Ovis aries: one gene and its partners. The protein of the gene in region 3 purifies or fractionates together with the protein of the main gene of each other region. This does not show direct contact. Links are inferred from orthologs where the notes say so. Each region holds a gene or a part of one and is shown on either strand. Other genes may lie near its edges.

Region 1 (3,648 bases), on a different chromosome or scaffold from region 3:
AAGCGAGACCCAAAAAGATCCATCAGCTTCCAAGTTTCTTAAATGCATCCCATATAACAAGCTAAGTATTTTATGGGAATTCAAAAATATCCAGCATCCAACTAGTTAAAATTCACACATCTGGCATCCAACCAAAAGTTTGCAGGCATGCAAAGATACCACCCAAATGAGCATGCAAAGATACCACCCAAATGAGAAAAAAAATCACTGTCACAGATTTAAAATAGAAAATGACTCTAAAACAGTATTCTGTATACCTGTACTTCATACATTCAAAAAGTTAAGTGGCATGAAAAACATTAAAAAAAAAAAGACCTAAAATAAACTTCTGAAGATGAAAATCTCAATGTCTGAAATGAAAAACACGCTAGATGAGGGACATCCCTGATGGTCCAGCGGGTAAGACTCCACACTCCCAATGCAGGGGGCCTGTGTTCAATCCCCGGTCAGGAAACTAGACACCACGTCTGCCGCAACGAAGAAGCCCCTATGCCGTGACAAAGGCCCTGTGAGCCACAATTAAGACTCAGTACAGTGAAAATAAATAATAAAGAAAAGATATTTAAAGAAAAAAATACACTAGATGGGATTAACAACAGATTTAAAAGATTGGTGAACTAGAAGACTGAGCAACAGAAACTATCCAAAAGGAAACAGAGAAATAAAATCTTTTCAATGAATGGAGCATCAGTGAGCTGCGGGACAACTTCAGGCAGACTGACATACATGTATAACAGGACTCCCCAAAGAGGATAAGGGACAAAAAAATATTTGAAGAAGCAATGGCCCCCCAAATGTTTGATTTTTATAAAAATTATAAATCCGCATATTGAAAAAGCTCAAAACACAGACATGTCATAATCAAATTGCTAAAAAAAAAAAAGATAAAGAAAAAAAATTTTTAAGCAACCAGACAAAAAAAGACACATTAAACAGAGACAAACAAAAATAAGGATAATAACAGATTTCTCAGCAGAAACAATGTCAGCAAAAAGGCAGGGGACTGACATCTCAGAAGCACTGAAGAATAAAACTCCCATCCTAGAATTCTATACCCAGCATAACTATTTTCAAAACAAAGGTGAAATACTTTTCAGACACAGAACAAAAGCTAAAAGATTTCCACAGCAGAAGAGTAGCGCTATAAGAACTATTAAAGGAAGTCCTTCAAGTGGGAGGAAAAATGAACACAAAAAACAGAAATCTGGACGCAGAAAGTGAAGCACAGTTAGTTAATGGTAACTGCGTGTGTAAGTACATGGCTTTTTTCTTATTATTTAAATATCTTTAAAAGATAACTGAACATTTAAACATAAATAAAAATAAAAACAACGTTATTACAGTAAAATATATGACAAAAGCTCAAAAGTTGGGAGGGGAGAAATGGAATATCAATTGCATCTTAATAAAGCTGTTAAAAAAATTAAAGAATGGATAAAATAATATCTAAAGATTCCTCCAAGCAAAAGTTTCTAATGTTATATTTCAAAAAATCCTCATTCTCCTCCCAGGCTCTTCCTACCCACCCACCCCCTCGCCCCCACGGCTTATGGGATCTTAGTACTCTGACCGGGAACTGAACGTACGCACTCGGCAGTGATCACACAGCCCCAATCACTGGACTGCCAGGGATTCCTCTACATTCTCTTCCTTTAAAAAAAAAAGTGTAAAAATCTCCCTATTTTGCTATACATTTTTTTTGTATGCATATCTAAGCATTGAAAAAAAATTAGAGGGTTTTCTAATATACCTTTCTCCTGAAACTTCACTAAAACAGAGAGAAACAAAATATTTAAAGAAATAATAAGGAAATTCATAAAATAAAACAGAAGCTGTGGAAACAGTGATCAAGAGTCATGCATCAATTCTCCGTCTCCCAAAATATTTAATAACTTAACATCAAGGAAAAGACTGAAACTGAACAATGTGAAGGGGAGATACGAAATCTTAAGCCTTGGAAAGACTCAAAAAATGAGAGGCACAAACAACCGTGAAAACATGCTTTAGGGTGAGACTAAAAACAGAAGGAAGGGGTTAAAGTCTATTTAAGAAACAGTCGTAACCCCAAATTCTCTCTTTCCACTTGAGGAGACATATACCTTGCCCCAGCTGACCCTTACAAAGAAATCTGGGGAGAAGCTCTGCACTGAAGCTTAGGAGGCTCATGAGAGGAGCTGCTGACAGCCGGGGGGGTGGGTGGAGTGAATGTTGACAGATGTAAGAATGCAAAGTAACTTCTGAACAGCTGAGAGCATTAGCCTCTGGAAGTGAAAATGAGCAGATGGAGGACTAGGTCATGTTAGAAGCCTTCCGTTACCACTGGCCTTTTAAACTGCATTCATGCATTATTTTTAAATCTTGAACTTATATCATTTTGACAAAAGTCATTCTAACTGGATTATCAGACTACACATCAAAGTTTCCATTTCACTGTTTGTTAGTTTGTAAGTCTTTTTCTTCCCTACCTTCTTTCCACCTGGCTTCTCCACAGTGAAAACCTCACTCCAGATCTGAATTCCGGTGGTTTCTGGGTCAGAGCCCCCTCGCCATGAAAACCCTGTCAACGGTTCTTCTGGGTCACCTAACCAGTTTGAATGGCCACCTTCCTTCTGTAGGAGAAATAAGAAATTTCCATTAAAACTTATTCAAGTAACTTTACACATCAAGGATAACTCATGAGGTGAGTTTGCTCTTTTGGACACAAGAGTCTCCACTTTCCAATTTGAAATGAAGTAACTCTACCTTACCTGGAAATATAAGTATCGTAGCATGAAGTCCAGAAAGAAGGACTTGCCCTTTCGGAAGGCACCAGCCACTGACACCACCACCACGTCAAGCTCTCGGATGTGGTCCTGTAAGAGGATGCTGGCCAAGGCTTTCTCTTCTAGCTCAAAGGAATGTTGGTCTTTCTGAACCAAAACAACCTGCACTGGACAAGGCTTTCCACTCTCCATAGCATCACCTATGTTGTTATAGAGATTAAAAAAAAAAGTTTCAAATATATGTATTTTTAGCATGCTGCTAAGTCGCTCCAGTCATGTCCGACCCTATGCAACCCCATAGACGGCAGCCCACCAGGCTCTCCCGTCCCTGGGATTCTCCAGGCAAGAATACTAGAGTGGGGTGCCACTGCCTTCTCCAATGCATTAAAGTGAAAAGTGAAAGTGAAGTCGCTCAGTCGTGTCCGACTCTTAGCAACCCCATGGACTGCAGCCCACCAGGCTCCTCCATCCATGGAATTTTCCAGGCAAGAGTACTGGAGTGGGTTGCCATTAGCATGGAAGAGTAAAAAGTTTTTAAACAGAGCACAAATGCACCCAACCATTAAAAAAAAAAAAGACAAATTAATTAGATTTCACTAAAATTAAGACTTTTGTTCATTAAAAGATATCATTAAGGGAGTAAAAATGCAAGTTACAGGCTAAAAGAAAATATTTTAACACCTAAATCCAAAGGACTCATATCCAGAATCATTAGAGAAATCCCAAAGAAAAAGACAACTATTCCACCTTTAAGAAGAGTAATAAGCAAAAGATTATGAACAGGCATTTAATTTAAAAAGGATATCCAAATGGTCAATAATCATACGAAAAGGTTCTATACCATTACTTAACAAAGAAATGTAAATCAAAACCATAAGGAGATACC
Region 2 (3,648 bases), about 150 Mb from region 3:
AGGAAGCACAGAAATGAGGCAAAGTCCCTGAAGATTACTGTGTTTGACGACCTCCAGCCCAGGACAGCAAAACTCACGAGGCTGACGTCTGAGAGAGCTTGGCATGCTGCTGCTTCCAAGAAGCCCCTGGCCACAACAAGCTGAGCAGTAGGTTCTCAGAGCTCAGGGCGACCCTGCCCATCACCTGGTCCAGGCCCGCTCGGACAGGGGAAGGGCGGGCGTCCGGGACCCTTCCCTGAGCCACAGCAAGTAGCGAGAGCAAGTCCACCTGCTGACCCTGCAAAGCCACCAGGAGGCTACAATGGGGGAGGGTAACTGCTAGGACATTGGACACTCGCCGCCTGCTCAATCACAGGGGCCTGCAGGGTCCACTGCGGACATCCCTGTGACAAACACCAGAGAGCTGTCAAACGGGATGACTCGGCTTTGGGTTAGACATGAAAAGGGGTCTGTGCGATGTGTGAAGGTGAAAGTGGTAGTCGCTCAGTCGCGTCTGACTCTGGACTGCAGCCCGCCAGGGTCCTCTGTCCACGGGGATTCTCCAGGCAAGAATACTGGAGTGGATTGCTATTTCCTTCCCGACCCAGGGATTGAACTAGCATCTCCTGCACTGCAGGCAGATTCTTTACCGTCTGAGCCACCAGGGAAGTCCATGTCGTACAGCCAGGTAAAAATGTTAGGTTATTTAAAAAGAGAAACTAAGTATACACACACCTGAACGTCCACACGTCATGTACATAACAAATGTGACGCCAGGGAAGGCTCACGATGACCCGTGACCGGGACCCTCTTGCACAGGGGTCATGGTGCAGGGGAGGGGAACATTCGCACCTTGAGAACAGAGCACGTATAAATATGTGCCTTTTTTTTATAAAAGTACAATTTTTACAGCGAGCACATGTAAATCATACATTACTTCTGGAATTAAAAAACAGTAACAAGGGTGTTCCCTGGTGGCCTAGGGGTTAGAATTCTGGGCTTTCACTGCCGTGGCTGGGGTTCAATCCCTGGTCCGGGAACTAAGATCCCACAAGCCACGTGGTGAAAAAAACAAGGAAAAAGAACTTTCTGAAAAGAAAAGCATTCAAAACATTGTGATTTCATTTTAGTAGGAAAAAATTGTGTACAGGACATACTGAAAGGACTAAGTCTGGTCTCATCTGGGAAGTGGTCTTTTTTTTTTTTTTTTTGGCCTCTTTCTGGTTTTCGACTTCTAAGAAGAACTCCTGGTACAATTACGGTCACAGGCGCTGCAGCTCTAACGTGGAGCCCAGGGCACAGACCAGAGCCCAGGATTCAGGCTTGCAGCAGGTGACTGGCTTTCTCTGCCCCATGACTCAGTTCCTCCCTGCCACACCCCTTCTGAGGCAGCTGCCTGTGGCCAGAAATAGCACGGGGGAGGCTTTGATGGGGGGAGTGACGAGGGAAGCGGCCCTATAGGGTGGGCGGCTGGGCAAAGATGGGGAGAGGATGGTTTTAAATCAAAGCCACGATCGGAGGTTTGAAAAAGGAAAAGCATTGTGCAGACACAGCCACAGTCAAGACCATGGGGACACGCAGGGAATCAGGACTCTAGGGGCCCTGGGTGGGTGGGCCTGGGAGAGAGGGAAGGAAAGGGGAGGAGACCTTATCTATAAGGAACGGGCCCTGGGATGCGGCACCCTGGATGACCACGAGGCCTATGCCTGAGTCCTAACCCAACCCCTAGCTCACAATGTGACCTGAGTTAATCCTCTCTTGCCCTCTGTTTTCACATCTGTTAAATGGGTACTTGGACCCAAAAGTCCAAGTACAGCATCGCTCCCACTCTGATTTTCTGTGGGATAGTAAGTGTGGCTCAGAGAACCTGCTCTGTGGTCAAAGACCCGGGTTCAAATCCCTCAGTAATTTACTGGTAGCCTTAGAAATGGATATGCGTGCATGCATGCCAAGTCGCTTCAGTCATGTCCGACTCTTTGTGACTCCATGGACTGTAGCCCGCCAGGATCCCCTGTCCATGGGATTCTCCAGGCAAGAATACTGGAGTGTACACGAATGACCAGCCATATACTTGAAGTTAGTGTCAACATTTATAAAAGCCTTCACAGCCAGTTCTAGAGAGGAAATCAATTATGCTGAAGAGCCAAGATACTCTTAAGAAGCAATAAATTATGCTGAAAATACATTCAATGATTAACTCAAAAAAATGAAATAGTCATGGTATAAAGAAGTCCAAAATATAAAGACAGTCAATTGCAAAAAATAAAAGTGAAGCTTGTATTTTAATTATTCCAACTGTTCTTACAATAAATTTGATGTAAAACCACCGAAAATACATTTTTTGAAAAACAGTGAAAAAAAAAAAAGAATACTGGAGTGGGATGCCAGGCCCTCCTCCAGGGGATTGAACCCGCATCTCTTATGTCTCCTGCATTGGCAGGCATGTTCTTTACCACTAGTGCCACCTGGGAAGACCTTAGAAATGGACATCACCTCACTTTCCCCATCTGTAAAATGGGCAAATAATGGGATCTACTTCAAGAGGGTCCGTACCCTAAGCACACAGTAGATGCCCACGAAATGCTCTGATGCTGAGAAAGAGAGAGAGGTGCCTGTGCCCCATGACCCCTCAGGCCCCGCACTGACCTCCTTGTCAATCAGCCGCAGCGGGTACTTGATGTCTGGATTCTCGAGTGTGATGGCCGGGGTGGAGCGCTGGAACAGCTTCATGATCAGGCTGTACAGGAACCAGACTGGGGAGAGGACCACGTGGCCCAACTGAAACGACAGGGCAGACACGAGAGGTCAGCTCGGCCCCAGGGAGGGTCTACCCCCTGCACTTCCCCCAAACACACCAGTTGGTCCACACCTCTGGACCGCTCCTCTGCCATGAACACCCTCTCTCCACTTCATCCAGGCACCCCGACTCCATCTTGGTGCCAGCTGGGAGACGCTATTAATACAAAACTCAGACTCATGAAACTCATCAGTGTATTACTACATCACTGGAAAAGCTCCATTTCACCTGAGGAACAGGGACAAAGAAAGCTACATAACTGAGCATGTAGCCCCTTTTCACTATGGCTGCCAGGAAGCTCAGCACAAAGTTCCCAAGTACCTGTGCTTAACCTTGAGTACTGCATATCTGTGCTCCCTTCCTCCCTCCTCGAGTCAATCTCCCTGACTGCATTAAGTGGTGTCAAGTGCTAGCTCTCTACAGACAAACCCCTGAGCCCTGGGGTTCTGCTTTCAGATGTGAGGGGCAGCCGGGGCACTGAGCCGGATGCTGGGAAGCTCTGCTCCTTGCTGGCTGGGTGGCCCTGGTCGAGTCCTCTCCCCTCCTCTGAACTGAACTGGACAAAGGTGATCTGCAAGGCCCCCTGAAGCTCTCCGCATCGTGCTGAGCCCCACACGGGGGTTAACCTCACGACGACTCTGAAGCAGGTGCTGACGTCACTGCTGCTTTACAGACAAGGGAACGGCTCAGGGAGGTGAAGCAACTCACCCAAAGGCACACAGCTGGCAGGTGGGGAGCTGGGATTCCAGCCCGAGTCCACCTCCCTCCCCAGCCATTCTCTTATGACATCAGTCCTCGCCCTCAACATCACGCTCACCCTGCTTTGTGGCTCTAAGGGGCTCTTCTTCGTCAGCCCCCTGCACCCCCTGCCC
Region 3 (3,748 bases):
AAATGAGTATGTATGTATCCTGACTCCCAGAAAGCCTGAATCATCCAGAATGTTGACTCATGGGCCTAAGGTGACTGAAATACAATGTGAATCAAATTTGCCTTCCAAGGCATCCTTCTCTTTCCACTTTCCTCTCTCTCCTCCCTCTTTTGGGTGACTCATCCTTCTACCAGTTAAGTCCAGCAGCGTGCAGATCCCAAAGCCCTCTTTGAAGAAGTACAGACTCATCAAATGGTCTGTTCCAGTCAGTCCCTATATCGTCTAGCCTAGTTGTTTTGCCTACCTCATCCAGGGTCTGCAGTTAAGACTGGGAGTGACTTTAAACCTGTAAAAAATATTATTTTTTCTTTTAAGGTGGTGATGGTGATCCCCTTAAGGTGATAAGGTGGCTTGGGAATTTAAGTTTGAAAGAAAACAAATTTTCATTTCGAAATTTACAATTTAACGTTTGCTTCAATCCTTAGGGCCTACTCCACAGTACCGTTATTCATAACCTTCCTGCGCTCTGGGTTTTTTCCTTTCCTGGGAGGAAAGTTTCCACTCCCAGTCTCCAAGATAACGCCCTTCCGGTGGCGTGCCAGGAACGTCTCCGACCCCTCAGTGCTGGGAGGGAGTCGTTTCGTTTTCTCAGTGCTGTAAACACACAGACTCCAGCTTCGCCAGGGCCAAGACCAAGACCCCAGCCGGACCCGCAACTACCCTAGGCAGTCGGTGGGGTTCCCAGCTCCAAACCCCGCCCATCGAACCCACCCGAGCCGGTAAGAGAGAGGAAGTGCAGTGAGACCCACCCACTTTCGTCTTTTTCCTTTTCTGTTGGGCCGACTGGTTGCCCGTCAACTCTATTTCTTCGCCGATTGGCTCACTCCCTCCCGCGTTAGTGCCTCCCTCTCCCTGGCTGGGAGGGTGTCACGCCAAACTGGGCGGAGCGTCGGCTGGCCTCTCTCCTTCTCTCATCTGGGCGGCGGCGGCGGCAACTGGGGACGGGGCGGGTGGCGCATCACGGGCGCGGAGGCTGGAGGAGCAGTCTCATTGTTCCGGGAGCTGTCGCCACTGCAGGTCCCTCGGCTCGTTGGGCCCTGCCCCTCTCAGTCCTCCCCGCCCCCCACAACCGCCCGCGGCTCTGAGAAGAAGCTTCTCCGGCGGAGGCAGCAGCTGCAGCATCACCTCTGACCTGCCAGCCATGGAAGACATGGACCAGTCGCCTCTGGTCTCCTCGTCCTCGGACAGCCCGCCTCGGCCTCAGCCCGCATTCAAGTACCAGTTCGTAAAGGAGCCCGAGGACGAAGAGGAAGAGGAGGAGGAGGAAGACGAGGACGAGGACGAGGACCTGGAGGAGCTGGAGGTGCTAGAGAGGAAGCCCGCCGCCGCGCTGTCGGCGGCCCCGGTGGCCGCAGCCGCCGCCACCCCGGCTAGCGCGCCCCTGCTGGACTTCGGCAATGATTTCGTGCCCCCGGCGCCCAGGGGGCCACTGCCGGCCGCGCCTCTCGCCGCTCCGGAGCGGCAGCCGTCTTGGGACCCGAGCCCCGTGTCGTCGTCGGTGCCCGCGCCGTCCCCACCCTCCATTACAGCAGACTCGCACTCCAAGCTCTCTGAGGACGAGGGGCCTCCGGCCCGGCCTCCCCCTCCTCCACCGGCCGACGTGAGCCCTCAGGCCGAGCCCTCGTGGACCCCGGCTGCCCCAGCCCCCGCCGCGCCCCCCTCCACGCCGGCCGCGCCCAAACGCAGGGGCTCCTCGGGCTCAGTGGGTGAGTGCCGCGCCCTCCGCCTCGCGCCGCCCCTCGCGCCCCTCCCTCTTTTGTGCGCAGCCCCTAAAGCCTGGACCCTGCCCTTCTGTCCATCCGGAGGGGGCTTTGTCTGCAGATCTTTGGGCGAAGGCGCCCCCGCTGGTGGGAGCCGCGGGGAGCAGGGTGGGGCGGCAGAGGAAGCTCCGGCTTACTCTTTATTGTCCGTCTGGGTATCGGGGAGCACGTGCGCCCCGACCGCTCCCGGGTTGTTCTGTCTGCTCTCCATTCCACCGGGTCGGGGAAGTTAGGAACCCACCCCTTGCAGGAACTGGGTCTGTAATGAGGGAACTAGGGGTGTGGATTCATCGGGCTGCCTTGGTTCCGGGATGAGGATGGAAGGCCTTGGCGCCCTAATCTTTTGTCTGCCCAACTAGGTTGCTCCTGAGGAAAAGACGCAGTTTCTTGCTGGTCTTTGCCTGCATTCAGCCCTGGCCCCTCTCCTCACCCCTTCCTTGGCTTGGGTGGCCCCATGCTCTTCATCTCCCCCGCCCCGGCCCCGCGCTCGTGGGGAGCCGGTCCAGTGGAAAACGTCCACATTGACCTGACTGCAGTGAAGGGACAGCGCCTCCAGTGGTGTGACGCGTGGAGAATTGCGGAGCGGAGTTTCGGCGAGGTCCTGCCACCGCCCAGTTTACCCGGGTTGTGATGTGGCTATTTACCACCAGCTTAACGGCGCCGGGGAAATGGGACCTGGGCACCGTGTTCCAAGGGGGCGCAGTTCTGCCGGGAGCTCTGCCGCAGAAGGAGGGGAACAGTTGTTAGGATGCACAGGTTTAGTCTCAATGCATCGTAATTGAATCGTAGAGATAAAAGGAAAAGGCAAAATGGTTGACATTCCCAAAGAAGGGGAAACCTGTGGATTCCCTGGCGGGAAGAGGACAGTTGAACTTCTGGCAGATTTACCATGGGACTTCATGAAATGTTTTCAGACAGACGTTTTCATCTGTTGGTTAGAAATACTGTTTCGTAGAAGTAATATATTTTAGGGCTGCAGAGACAGATTTGCATTGTCCGTAAATAGTTTTCAAATCTTTTCATTTACCAGCACCTGATTGTTATTACTGTTATTAGGAAAAATTGTTTTATTATCCTTTTCATTTTGGGAGATTGTTTATTTTGGAAGAGAAAAAAGTTTGTTAGAGGTTGAGAATTCATCCTATTAGACACGTTAATTAACTTATTAACAAGTAGCTTGTTAGTTTGGGGACAGAAAGCGTCGCACTAGAAGTAGGACCTTTATGTGTAAATAGGCAAGGATCAAGAATCAGGTAGTGTAACAGTCTGGTGAGAAATTGTCATAGCCTTGTAGGATTTTAGAGCCGGTTGTTTTTCTAGAAAAAGATACTCAGTGGGAGATCATGGAAGAATTTTCTTTTCTTCGGCTCACTCCTGCACCACAAGGAAGAAAAATAAGTCAATAGTGATATCGACATACCCCACAGCATTACTCAAAACATTAATTACTACACTACAGATAATTAGAATGTGAGAAGTAACTCAAGTTTTCCTTTTTATGAGTGAAAACACATTTCGAGAAACTAAAGTAAGGTGGAAAAATATCAAGTAATAAGACATTTACAAATGATAAATTTAATGATTAAGAAAAGCAAACTGATTTTTCATATTGTATTCCTGTGTGGCAACAAAAGAGTTCTGTGCTTTGAACCTTGGAGAGTCAGGAGGTGACAGCATTCTTTCTGTATTTTGACTTTAGGAATACTAACTTTGGAAGACAAAGGAGAGAATGTTGAGTCACTTAGCGATTCTATCTTTACATGGCTCCCTAATTCTGTATTGATGTTGCCTATCTAGAAATTTTAGTTCCTTTAGGACATAAAGGAACACTGTGATTATGGTCAGATAGTTAAACCATGTCACTGAGTCTGGCTTTCTTAACAGTTCTTTCCTGCAGCTGGTTATTGATTTACCTACAGAGGCACTATTCTAGGCTAGGAAAATAGAGC

What was found.
Region 1: the proteins of RTN4 (region 3) and ATL3 purify together in Homo sapiens (affinity purification with mass spectrometry; 4 studies listed by BioGRID and IntAct, counting the BioPlex papers as one, with this or other methods). This does not show direct contact. The link is inferred for Ovis aries from reciprocal best matches to the Homo sapiens genes RTN4 and ATL3.
Region 2: the proteins of RTN4 (region 3) and NADH-cytochrome b5 reductase 3 purify together in Homo sapiens (affinity purification with mass spectrometry; 3 studies listed by BioGRID and IntAct, counting the BioPlex papers as one, with this or other methods). This does not show direct contact. The link is inferred for Ovis aries from reciprocal best matches to the Homo sapiens genes RTN4 and CYB5R3.

What each region holds. Positions count from the first base shown.
Region 1 is NC_056074.1:38,478,787-38,482,434, forward strand, and holds part of ATL3 (atlastin-3), read right to left. Parts: intron 2,963-3,648; coding exon 2,748-2,962; intron 2,610-2,747; coding exon 2,466-2,609; intron 1-2,465. UniProt on the Homo sapiens protein: Atlastin-3 (ATL3) is a membrane-anchored GTPase that mediates the GTP-dependent fusion of endoplasmic reticulum (ER) membranes, maintaining the continuous ER network. It facilitates the formation of three-way junctions where ER tubules intersect.
Region 2 is NC_056056.1:219,410,973-219,414,620, forward strand, and holds part of NADH-cytochrome b5 reductase 3, read right to left. Parts: intron 2,758-3,648; coding exon 2,626-2,757; intron 1-2,625. UniProt on the Homo sapiens protein: Catalyzes the reduction of two molecules of cytochrome b5 using NADH as the electron donor.
Region 3 is NC_056056.1:68,964,254-68,968,001, forward strand, and holds the start of RTN4 (reticulon-4), read left to right. Parts: upstream 1-970; 5' UTR 971-1,180; coding exon 1,181-1,745; intron 1,746-3,748. UniProt on the Homo sapiens protein: Required to induce the formation and stabilization of endoplasmic reticulum (ER) tubules. They regulate membrane morphogenesis in the ER by promoting tubular ER production.